Linked DNA regions of Sus scrofa. The protein of the gene in region 1 interacts with the protein of each later gene in a pairwise test. Links are inferred from orthologs where the notes say so. Each region holds a gene or a part of one and is shown on either strand. Other genes may lie near its edges. The genes, in order: ARRB1, MAPK9 and GNMT.

Region 1 (4,259 bases):
CAATAGCCAGAAGTTGAGAGGGTGAATAACAAATGAGTGAAGGGAACAGCAGAGAAATCGAGGCCAGGATGGGAGGGGACGTGCCCGTGGCCGCAGAGCGGAGCACCGGCTGCGGAACCAGGCAGAGGCGTGTGTGGTCCCTGACTCCCGCGAAGTGCTCCCTCTGCCTTCTGGAGCAAGCTGAGGTCCCCTGGAGCCTGAGGCCCCTCACCTATTCCCCAACATCCAGCCCGGAACTGCTCAGAGCAGTGCTGGGAGACAGAAGAAAGGGAGAGACAGAGCCCCAGAAACAAGAGACAGTGTTGGAGGAGGGAGGGAGCGGGGAGGGACACTGCCCTGGAGGGGTCATGAAAGATGGAATGAGTGATGATTAAACAAACCAAAAAGAGGAGTTCCCATCATGGCTCAGTGGTTAACGAACCTGACCAGCATCCACATGGACACAGGTTCGAACCCTGGCCTCGCTCAGTGGGTTAAGGATCCGGCATTGCCGTGAGCTGTGGTGTAGGTCGCAGACGCAGCTCAGATCCTGCGTTGCTGTGGCTGTGGCGTAGGCCGGAGGGGCTGCAGCTCTGATTCAACCCCTAGCCTGGGAACTCCATATGCCACGGGTGTGGCCCTAAAAGACAAAAATAAATAAATAAATAAATAATAAACCAAAAAGAGAGGGAGAGAGAAAGTGTTACAAACAGAAAGAGATGGGCAGACACAGAGCGACAGAGCTCACGTGTGCTGAGAGGATCCAGGCAGCTCAAAACCTGGAGGAGCAGGAGGCCCAGCAGCATCCAGCACAACAAGGCAGGGTGAGGCCCACAGTGTCACATTGACAGCTGGTCTCCCCAGAGGGGACAGGGGTGCTGGTCCTGTGCTGCCTCCATAGCCCCCCCATCACCCCCACCCCTTAATTTGGGGGCCCCAGGGACCACTGATGGGTCTGAGCTTGGCTGGCAAACAGGGACTTATCACCTTCCTCACCCCACCCCCAACTCTCTGAGGAGTTCTGGGCTTGTCTCCTCCTCATAAATATTTATCCGTGTTTGGAGTGTAAAGATGCCACAGTCAGCTGGGGTATAATAATTGCTAAACTGAGAAAAAAATTACAGATCATATGACTCGAACCAGCAGCTCCCAAGCTAAGGCTGGACCTGCAGAGGAGACCAGAGAAGGAACAGACCACAGGGCCTCTGAGGCTTCCAGAAGCCTGCCTACCTCTCTGGAGCCTCGGGTCTGAGGGAAAGAGAGGCCACAAAAGCCCAAGGCCACAAGTAACTGAGTCAGGAGAAGCTATTCCAGGGACCTCTGAGAGGGACTAGGGGGACCCTGACCACGGGAGGCAGCCGGAGGCCAGCTGAGAGGAGTGACAGTCGGGGAGGGAAAAAGAGAAGAAGGAACTAACATTTTAAAAAAGAAGGAACTAGAACTAGCATTGGTTGAGTGCCCAGTGAGTTCTTTCTCATCACAGCACTGTGAAATGGGCATTAGAACCCTCACTTTATAGACAGTGAACTTGACATTCAGAGAGATGTGGTGATTTGCCCAGGAATACACAGCAACCAAGGGGCTAATAAGTCAGGATTCAGACCCAGTTCTGTCTGTCTGCCTCCAGAGGCTGGGCTTTTACATCCAACCCTGCTGCGCTTTCCCAAAGCAGGTGTTTTTATCAACATCAAGAATAACAGAAAAGAGGGCAAGTGAGGGCAGGAGGCGGGAGGAAAGGAGGAAGAAAGGGTGATTAAGGGGTGAGAAGGAGCGTGAGGGTGAGGAGAGGCAGGAGGCACAGCCGGCCCAGGGGTGGGGACGGACCTCTGCCAAGTCAATCAGCCCCCGGGGCCACCTCCGCAGGAAGCTGGTCGCTGGCTGGCGGCTTCCTCGAACAGCAGCAGCAGCAGCTGCCCGTGCCCTCCAGCCTTGTACGCCCTTGTCAGGTCTCTAAGTGTTTTTCCAGCACTGGGGTTGATGCTTCAACAATCCCATTTCAGAGATGAGAAAACTGAGGCTCAAAGAGGTGAACTGTGGCTGCCTTCTCCCGAGCTCACATCCTTTCCACTCTGTCCCACAGCCACACCATCCCCAAAACAACTCCAGTGGCTTCCTGACCCCAGGGCTGTCAGAAGAAGGCTCCTGTAAGGGTGCATCCAGTTCACCGGGACCCCTACCTGTGCGACACCTCATTCATAGACAGCTTCTGCCAGTCCCCGCTGAAGAGCAGGCACAATCATGCAAGACTGAGGTCAGAGCCAAATTTCTAGACCGTGGGATGGCTGGGTTTGCTTCACCCCCGAGTCCCATCTGTGCCCTCCAAGCCTGATCCTCAAGCCAAAGCCGGGCCCCATACAAGAAATACTGGTAGAGTTCTAGCTGATTAAGACTCACTGGAGACAAGGAACAGAAACCCATCAAGAAAAGAAGGAGGGGGTATGATAAGGAGGCAAAAATCTCACGGGAAGGATATGTAGCCAGGACGCACGGGGGCTGGAGCCAGGAACAGGGAAGCCATCAGCCTCTTAGGCGGCCGCTCTCTCTCTCCACCTCTCCCCCTGGGGCTGCATGTTCTCCAGGCTGCACTGCTCTCGGTGTGGCTGCTCCATTGCCTCTGTGGACCAACTCTCTCTGCTTACTCAGGGCTTTTCTGCTCCTCCATCGTTTGGGCTTGCGTGTGGTTCTCACTCCGACCCTGTTTCTATTCTGCCTCTGCTCAGCTTCCCACTGTTAACTGGTTGAATGGCCCAATTCCAAATTCCCAGGAGAGGAACGGGATTGGTCAGCTCCGGTCAGGTGTCCCATGCCTGGGCCAATCAGCTATGCCCAGGGTGTGTCATGGGGTCCATGAGGCCTGGGCAGAGGAGGGTCTGTTCAGCAGTGTTTTTCAAACCAGGGGCCACGACCCATTAGTTGACAATGAAATCAACCTATAGACTTGCCATCAGCTCTTTGGTGGTGGCGCTGTTTTTTAGTGGAAGAGAGCAGAAGACATAAGCATAAGGAGCAGCTAGCAAGGATATAGTAGATATTATATTTACCAACATTCCACTCCCCTCGAAGGCTGGGCAGATGGATGCATCAAGTTTTTCTAGTCCTATGAACTTAGACATGCCTATGCAGCTTGCTCTGGCCAAGGAAATATGAGCAGACCCGCCATATGCCACTTCCGGGCAGAAGCAATTCAGGGCTGCGTGATATCCCATGCCATTTCTATGAGTTTTCTACAGAGGCTGTAACAAAGATCACAACTTAGTGGCTTAAACCAGCTTAAATTACTCTCTCAGTACGTTCAAAATGTACCTCACTAGGTTAAAATCAAGATGTGGGCATTCCTACATTCCTGTCTGGAGGCTCCAGGGGGAAATCTGGTTCTGTGCCCTTTCCACCCACATTCCATGTCTCCAGGTCTCTTCCTCCATCTTCAAAGCCAGCAATGAGAAGTTGGGTTCTTGGCGTGTCTGTCGGGGCTCAGCGGAAACAAATCTGACTAGCATGCATGAGGACGCAGGTTCGACCCCTGGCCTCACTCAGTGGGTTAAAGACCCGGCATTGCCGTGAGCTGTGGTGTAGGTCACAGACGAGGCTCAGATCTGGCATTGCTGTGCCTGTAGTGTAGGCTGGCAGCTGTAGCTCTGATTGGACCCCTAGTCTGGGAACCTCCATATGCCACAGGTGCGGCCCTAAAAATATTAAAAACAAACAAAGAAGTGGTTCTTATCACATGGGACTGCTCTGACCTCCTCTTGCCTCCTTCTTCCACTTTTAAAGACCCATATGAGTACCTACAGCTCTCTATTTTAAGATCAACTGATTTTAGCAACCTTAATTCTATCTGCAATGTAATTCCCCTCTGCCATGTGATACGAGAGTTTCAAAGGTTCCAAGAATTAGGATGTAGATGTTGCTGGGGAGGAGGAAGCATTCTTCCTCCTACCACACCCCCTTTCCTCTTTCCCTGAAACCAGCAGTGATCTGGATGGGGGGGCCTCCAGAGACTTAAAGCCCAGAGATGCTCTCCGGCTGGATGATCGGGAGATGGGGCAGCCTGAGAGAGGAAGTAAGTTCTTAAAGCACTAGGATCTGGGGTTTGTTTGTCACTGCAGGAGACCAGCTTCTGCGGGCTGATACAAAAAAAGTCAGCATTATTTAGTCAAACTCTGTTTCAGGTGAACTGAAAATTTGTCAGGCTGCAAATTTTTAAATGGTCCCAATCCACTATTTCAGAGAACGTGCCTAAAACAAACGTGCTCTATTAGGGACTGTACAGCCTGTTGAAT
Region 2 (3,617 bases), on another chromosome or scaffold:
AGGGAAAAGCATTATGAGCACAGGTAGCCAAAATGTGACCATCGTAACTCCATTTCTGCAATGACACTTCAATACTCAGTATTTCAGTGAGTTTTGAATAGTTTCCATATTGAAAGTCTGAAAGTATCAATTTCAGGTGAGCAGTTTTAAGTCAGAAAATATTCAATAGTTAATCATTACTCTTTAGGGCATTTCCTCCATATCCTTCAGATGGGTTTTCCCAGAACATTCATGGATTTCCCTTAGGAAAAGGAAATGCCGCCATAAAGTGGAAAACAACCACAAACAGGCATTCTGAATTGGCGTGCTTCCTCAAACAGACCAAAGGGGGATTTGTGTGGTTTCTTTCAGAAAAGAAAGAAAATCGAGTAAGCATGCGGTGTTGGAAGAGGGAAACTCTGCCTTGTGAAATCACGGATCTTACCTTGAGCGATGGAAGGTAAGAGAGGACCCAGTCCAGGCTCAGGCAAAGCATGCACTTAGTAAGTGGCTGCAATCATCTTTAGTGATCACTTCGTAAAATTTTTCTCTACCAGCAGTTGATGGGTTCAAGAATGTGTATGCCATCATATTGAGATGGGGTGTTAGGTGACTAATAAAGAAGGCGAAGTTCTAGTATAGCATTTTAAATTAAATATGAAGTTCAGAAGACAAAGAAAAAAGAGATAGGGTACATAGGAATTAAAGGTATATGATATTTTAAGCAGCACAAAACAAAACTTAAAACTTTATCATGCAGTAAAGCTGAATGTACAGTCACCCAGACTAAGACAATTTAGAGAAAACAAAGTGTCCTGGTTTTAGCAGTGGTAATTCTCAGCCCAAATGTGACAAATTTAGGAAAAGTTATATTTTTTAATTTATTTAACAGATTTACTTATATTCCTTCTGAAATATGAAAGAAAATAACTCATACCCTAAAGGAAGGTAAGATACAATAATATGATGGCAGCCAATTAATATACATAAATCTATTTTTTCTGGACAGACACCAAATTACTTAAAAGGATTAAGAGACAATTCTAGAAGCAGCACTACCTAGAAGATTATTTGGCTTTTAAATACTGTTTTTCAAAGTGCTAGAGGGCAAGTCCAAGCAGGCATTTGCGGTCACATGCATATAAGTCCCAACAATTACTGAAGATGAGAAATTGTCACTACTATTACCATACAACTTAAAAAAAAAATCTATTCTAATTGCTCACCTGAAATGACCTTGAACAAAATCTCTAGAAGTGTGGTTTGCACTTTTTTTTTTCTTCAGACATAATCTGCTTCATTTTATAATCTAAGCAAGGCAAGCCTAGTACAACTGAGTAGGGGCAAGGCATCGTGTTTCTTACATGCAGAACATGGAGTTTTTCTATTTGGTTCCATCAACTCCCAGGCATTTCAGGCCCACGGAAGCAAGAGTTCCTTCACTGATGACAAGCTTGCTATTTCTAACTTATCATCGACAACCTTCAAGGGGTCCCGTTGAGGCATCCAGACTGCTGTCTGTGTCTGAGGCCAGGGTCTGCTCAGTGGACATGGATGAAATGTCATTGATAGATGACGACTGAGAAGGAGTGGCGTTGCTACTTACTGCTGCATCTGTGCTAAGAAAACCAAATATAATAAAATCTGAGGCACGACATTGTTGCAAATCCAGGCAGTGAGACTTCAGGCCATTTCTCAGCTTTTTCCTTTTGTAGCTTCCTGTACTAACTATTAGTATAAACAAGAAATTAGTTGACTGTACATTTTGAACCTTTCCTGGAGTCTTTCTTTAGGCTCAAAATCCCAAATATTCCTGTCTTCCCTTGCAACATTTCTTTTCTTCCCAATGGCTAGTCATCATATATGTACTTGTGTATAATCATGTTAACTGCTTAGAAAATATCTGCTGGTTTTAAAAAGATATTTTTTAAAAAACTGCTGAATTTATCCTAAAACTAAAAAAAAAATCTCAAAAAGTTTAATCCCAAATAGGATTCAAGTGTCATCAGACATTTCAATTATAATCATAAACAGTCCAAGGAAAAAAGTATCAACCTTTGCAGAATTCTTTTACAATAAAAATACCTTCCAAAATAAGAACTGCATACAAACAAAAAAAGGAAAAAAATTATAAAGAACACTGTTCATTTTATTTTTGCTTTTTAAATTCCCAAAGGCAAATGAAACCATCCCATTTCTTACTATCTATATTTTAGTCTGGTTTTAGCAAAAATAAAACATCCAGACTCTCAGAGGTCAGTCTTAAATTTGTGCTTTGTTAACAAAAAGCACCTAAATTCACATTATATTCATATACTCTCTAGACACTCGACACACATGTCATGAATAAGAAGTGCAATTTGTATTTATGTGTGTCTATGTGTGCGCACATTTCCCGGTAGGAGTGGAATAATAAAATAAATATAAAGAGTTTTGTTTAAGGTCAAACTCTACAAGACACAAGTTAACACCACATATATTATGTCTCTAGTAATCACACAATTATCTAACGGTTAGAATTCTACCACTAAGTAGATCAAGTAGAAAGATGGGAGAATTATATGAACGATCTTCTCGAAAGAAAAGTAAATTCCATTTTATCTAGATTCACGTTGATATTCTTTTTAACTGGTTAGGACCAGTACAAAGAGGGTCATACACATTGAAAAAGCTTTAAGAAGCTCCCTTGTGGTGCAATGGGTTAAGGATCTGGTGTTGTCACTGAAGCGGCTCAGGCTGCTGCTGTGGTGTGGGTTTGATCCTTGGCCTGGGAACTTCCACATGTCATGGGCATGCCCCCACCCTCCAAAGAGGGTTTAAATTCAATTTCCTTATAAACAAAACTGACAACAGTGTTACAAAGATGAACAAGCATGTTCTTAACACAGTTCACTGCCTGGCCCATCAGTAAAATATTCACTGCCATCACTGGGACAAACCAAAAAGGGGAAGACTATTTCACAGAAAAAATTTTCAAACCCAATATTGGTCAAGCTGGCACTTAACACACTGCTTCTTATAAAAACTAAATAGGGAAAGAAAAATAATATACAATCAAACTATTAAAGCAATCACTAACCTGAAGGTTGATCTTTTACAACACCATTCTTGTTTCTTTCTTCCCAATCCATTACTTCTTTGTAAATTAGCTCTTAAAATAGAAATGCAAGTTAAAACAGCTTCACCAGTTTCCTTGCATCTCTAAATCCTGCTTCCAAATCACACAGAACCACTCCAAGGGCACCGCGATGTATTAGACAAGTAATTTAGTAATATAGTTTACCTAGACTAAAACATTGATATTTGATCCATTACATCTTTTCAACCAACTGTTAAGCCAAAATGTAGGGTGGTTCTGGATCCACAAGGGGGGTTTACAAAGAGAAGCAAGCGTGGGGGCTGGGGACAGGGGAGAAAAGAGAGGGAGGGAAAGTATGAGCAAAGTGGCTCAAACAGGACAGTTTAGAGTATCAGATGTTCTCACACCTGTCTGCACATGTTTTTCTCCATCATTACTTGTGGTTCTCCAAACGTAACCCCTTCAAGGACGGCTGTGGCTCTTTCCTGGGATGTGGAAGCCGGTGGCAAAAATATCCGGGAGTATTCCAACTGAAGGTTGACATCCTGCTTGGGTCATT
Region 3 (4,096 bases), on another chromosome or scaffold:
TGAGGTGTACAGGACCTGAAAAAAGCATAGACTATATTGTTTTCCTTTCCATCTGTTTGAACCCGAATCCCTGCCCCCAGCTGCAGCCCACCCCTTCCCACACCCCCGGATCTGCACTGGGGGTTGGGCTCCGTGTGGGGCTTCTGGTCCCCTCCTCCACAGACGGAGCCTGGCAGCGCCTGGGCAGAGGGCAGTGGGAGCTGAGGCCTCACTCAGTCCGTCTTCCTGAGCACGTGGATGAAATAGCAGGGAATGTAGGCCTGGCCCGGCTTGTAAGGCTTGAAATCTCCTAGGACACTGTGCTGGCACTTGCCCCCGAAGGCTGTTTGTAGCAGCTCCGTAAAGGATGCCAGACAGTGAGGGTAGTAGGAGAGCCGGAACTTACTGCAACAGAGCCCCCGACCAACCATCAGGACTGGTGTGTCAGCGCCCCCTGCCCAAGCCCCTGCCTCGCCAGTGTACCTCAAGCCAGGAGAACCTCTGTGGCCAGTCCCCGGCACCTGCACCGTGTAATCGAGGGTCACCATGTGAGCCTTGTTGTTCACTGTCAGCACAGATGTCGTGATGTCCTTGATCAGGTCACTCTGCAGGTGGGAGTGCCAGCTGTGTTAGCTTCTGCAACTCTGGTGGGGCCCAGAGAGCCCACCTCCCACTCTGGGCCCTCCCTCCCTCAGGGGCCCCACCTTATAGTAGATGTTCTTTCCTGGGGGTGCACAGCCTGTGCTGAGGATGTGGTCGTAGTTTCGATGATCAATGACCAGCAAGCCCCCTGACCGCACCATGCTTGTGATGTTTTTCAGGGCCAGCCGGTGCTCACTCTGGTCCCCTGAACTCCAGGAAGGGTAGAGAGGCTGCGTCTGCTCAGGGCCCGGGCACCAGTCTCCCTCCCATCTTTCTCCTTCCCCCTGCGTCTGGAAAGGGTATGGTTCAAAGCAGGGTCTACGCCCAAGGCCACACCCTCTCACCTCTGCAGTCTGGCAAGTGGGCAAAACTGTTTCCAAGGCAGATGACAGCATCGAAGCCACCCATTGGTGACTTGGGCACATCTTTGTCTAGAGTCATCCAGTTGGCTTCTTCAATGACTGGGGGCCAGGAAAGGGAAGAGGGAACAGGCTGGTACCACAGTACAAGCAGCACCCGTGTCCACCAAGTGCAGTCTTGCCTCTCTTTCCCCTTCTAGATACACACAGGGCCTCCCCAGGGGAGGGGATCCCGAGGGAGGGGATCATCATGGACATGGAGGGTGAAGGAGAAGAGGGGTCAGGGGAATAGGAAGCTGTGGTGGGGAAGGAGGGCCCTGTGCTTATGGGTTTCTTTTGGGGGAGAAGGATAAGATACTATAAAGGTAATTAAAACTAGCATAGTCAATACCTCGTTCTTGTGCCTAAGCCTCCCTTTTTAGGGATTTTACTGTCCCCCTTGAGGAAAACAAAACCCCCCACCACAGGAGCTAAAGGAGCCAGAGCAGAGAGAACAGTGTCCTTGGTGGCTGGGCCGAGGGGACCTGGCTGGAGCTGCCTACCCCACTTGTCGAAAGCAGGCTCATGCCGCCGGTTCCAGCGCTCTTTAAGTGCATACTTGAGCATCTTGTCACTGGCATCCACACTTGTCACACTGAAGCCTTCTTCCACTAGCATGATGGAGTCCACCCTGGGCAGGACCAGAATCCCAACAGGCAGAGAGGGGTGGTCAGGGAAGGCAAGGAGGAGGCCCTGTGCCGGACACTTCTGTCTCCTCAGGTCCTCAGAGTCCATTTTTCTGCCTGTCCCCAGGCTCTCTCCACTGACCTCAGTGACCTGGCATATCTGATTCTCATCATCAGGTAGCACCCTTTTTGTGTTTTAGCACCTATTCCAAGTCAGGCATTCTACAAATGCACATGAATCCTCATTGCAGTCCGGTAAGGTAGATGGTCTTATCCCCATTCGAGAGATGGGGCAAGCTGAGGCTTCTGGATGTTAAGTAACTTGAGCACAGGAGGCAGTGTAACATGGGGGTTTAGAGCACAGGCCAGACCCTAACCCATCTGGGTTTGCATCTCCTCTCCACCTTTATCTCTCTGAGGCCAAATTCCTACAACGGTAAACAGCTATCACTACCCACCTCATGGGGTTTTGTGAGGATTTTAAAACCTCATGTATCAAAAGCACCTGGTACAGTGCTTTGGCAGGGGCACATGTTAAACAAGCGTTAACTGTTAACGCTGCCGGAGGCCATCATACCGGGGAATGACCCTGGAATGACCCTGGAGCCGGGTTCCAAGCCCCAAAGCCTGGGTCCTTGCGCCGCCCCAGCGAGATCGCCTTCTCCACCCACAGTGCCCACACCCTCGCTCTCACCCTGGGTCTCCTCGGCCCCCTCCTGCCGTCGGCCTCGCCCTGCTCCTCGTTCTGCCTGGGTAAACACTCATTCCTGGCCCCTGGCGTCGCGCCCCTGCCTGGCTCTAGGTCGGCAGCGGCGGAGGAGGCTGCCCGACGTGCCCCGCTGTGGTACTGCGGTCGGGCGACCCCGGCCGGAGCAGACCCCGTCCCCCGTCGCCTGTGTCCTCCCGGCTCCTCTTTCCCCCTGGCCCCCGGATGCCTGCTCATCCCAGGTCCCTGGCTTCCGTCCGGGCTCACCCGGTACCACAGGCCACGTCGAGGACTCGCTGGCAGCCGTGCTGTCGCAGCAGTCCGAGCAGCCAAGCCTTGTACTCAGCCGTGCGGCTGCGGGTGTCTCCGATGTACAGCTGCCACACGCGCGCCGCCTCTCCGTCCGCGTACTGGTCCGGGAGCCCTTCAGCCGCCACCCCCAGGGAGCGGGTCCGGTACACGCTGTCCACCATCCTGCGAGGCGCCTGGCTCCGCAGCCACCCGCTCTGCATTTATAATACGCCCCTGCCGGCGGCCCCACCTGCCCAATGGGAGGTGAGAGCGGGGACACGCCCCTGCTGGGCCCTGGGCCCGCAGCCGCGGCTGCCCGGGTAGGCACGCTGGGAGGGCGCTGCCTGGCAATCCTAGACCAGCCCTTCCCGCCTGCCTGAGGATCCTGCCCTGTGGATGATCCCTCGGCGCAAAAGGACCTTCCCAACCCCTGCCCACTTAAGCCAGGTCCCAGGGGAACCTAGGAGGGGTCAGAAGGGGGAGCTGGGGAGTTCCCGTCGTGGCGCAGTGGTTAATGAATCCGACTAGGAACCATGAGGTTGCGGGTTAGGTCCCTGCCCTTGCTCAGTGGGTTGAAGATCCGGCGTTGCCGTGAGCTGTGGTGTAGGTTGCAGACACGGCTTGGATCCCGCGTGGCTGTGGCTCTGGCGTAGGCCTGTGGCTACAGCTCTGATTCGACCCCTAGCCTGGGAACCTCCATAAGCCGCGGGAGCGGCCCAAGAAATAGCAAAAAGACAAAAACAAAAACAAAAACAAAAAACAGAAGCGGGAGCTGGAAAGAAACTTCACAGTCCACAATGAGTGCCCAGGGCAAAACCGTCCCTACTGGGGGGGGAGGTGGGGAGGTAGGGTGGGGGTTATTAGCATATATAAAGAAGGGCTGCCCCGCCCAAAGAGGGCCTGGTCAGCCAGCGAAGGGAGGGATGGGAGTATCTGGGGATGATGCTGGCTTGGCCATCCAAGTCTAGGAGCAGTTCTGGCCCAAGGGGTCATCCCACCCATCTGGGGGCAGGTGCTCCTCTGTCCTGTAGCTGATGCATCAAGCTTTTCCCTGAGCCACTTGAGATGGAGTCTGATTCCAGTTCCTCTCTAACCAAGCACCCCACTAATGGCTGCTTTCCACAGAGGTGCCCACAGACTGGGCAGTCCAGAGTGAGGGGTGGAAGTGCTTGCTCTTGCTCTTATATCGCTCATTATCACCTCATAAATTGGTCATTTGGTTTGGTTAGTGTCAGCCACCCTCCTCCCCAAAACAGGTCTCTTCCTGGACAAGACCCTGGACTGAGATTCAGGAAGGTGGTGCCACCCAGGGAAGCCCAAGACAGCAAGAACAGCCTTCCTCACCTATCTTTTGGCTTCAGAAAGTGCCGAGGTATGGAATTTAGAACAAAGGAACCTCCCATCCGCTGCCCCTTTTACCATCAATAGAATCCTGGAGCTGGGGAAACCCCAAA

What was found.
Region 2: the proteins of ARRB1 (region 1) and MAPK9 interact in binary tests that used the Homo sapiens proteins (3 or more experiments, as listed by UniProt). The link is inferred for Sus scrofa from reciprocal best matches to the Homo sapiens genes ARRB1 and MAPK9.
Region 3: the proteins of ARRB1 (region 1) and GNMT interact in binary tests that used the Homo sapiens proteins (3 or more experiments, as listed by UniProt). The link is inferred for Sus scrofa from reciprocal best matches to the Homo sapiens genes ARRB1 and GNMT.

What each region holds. Positions count from the first base shown.
Region 1 is NC_010451.4:9,547,289-9,551,547, forward strand, and holds the start of ARRB1 (beta-arrestin-1), read right to left. Parts: upstream 2,911-4,259; 5' UTR 2,498-2,910; coding exon 2,442-2,497; intron 2,394-2,441; exon of another isoform or gene 2,177-2,393; coding exon of another isoform or gene 2,157-2,176; intron 1-2,156. UniProt on the Homo sapiens protein: Functions in regulating agonist-mediated G-protein coupled receptor (GPCR) signaling by mediating both receptor desensitization and resensitization processes.
Region 2 is NC_010444.4:78,393,870-78,397,486, reverse strand, and holds part of MAPK9 (mitogen-activated protein kinase 9), read right to left. Parts: intron 3,131-3,617; coding exon 3,059-3,130; intron 1,599-3,058; coding exon of another isoform or gene 1,594-1,598; coding exon 1,451-1,593; 3' UTR 1-1,450. UniProt on the Homo sapiens protein: Serine/threonine-protein kinase involved in various processes such as cell proliferation, differentiation, migration, transformation and programmed cell death.
Region 3 is NC_010449.5:38,037,130-38,041,225, reverse strand, and holds GNMT (glycine N-methyltransferase), read right to left. Parts: upstream 2,868-4,096; 5' UTR 2,825-2,867; coding exon 2,619-2,824; intron 1,651-2,618; coding exon 1,523-1,650; intron 1,375-1,522; exon of another isoform or gene 1,083-1,374; coding exon 966-1,082; exon of another isoform or gene 827-965; coding exon 684-826; intron 585-683; coding exon 463-584; intron 385-462; coding exon 213-384; 3' UTR 8-212; downstream 1-7. UniProt on the Homo sapiens protein: Catalyzes the methylation of glycine by using S-adenosylmethionine (AdoMet) to form N-methylglycine (sarcosine) with the concomitant production of S-adenosylhomocysteine (AdoHcy), a reaction regulated by the binding of 5-methyltetrahydrofolate.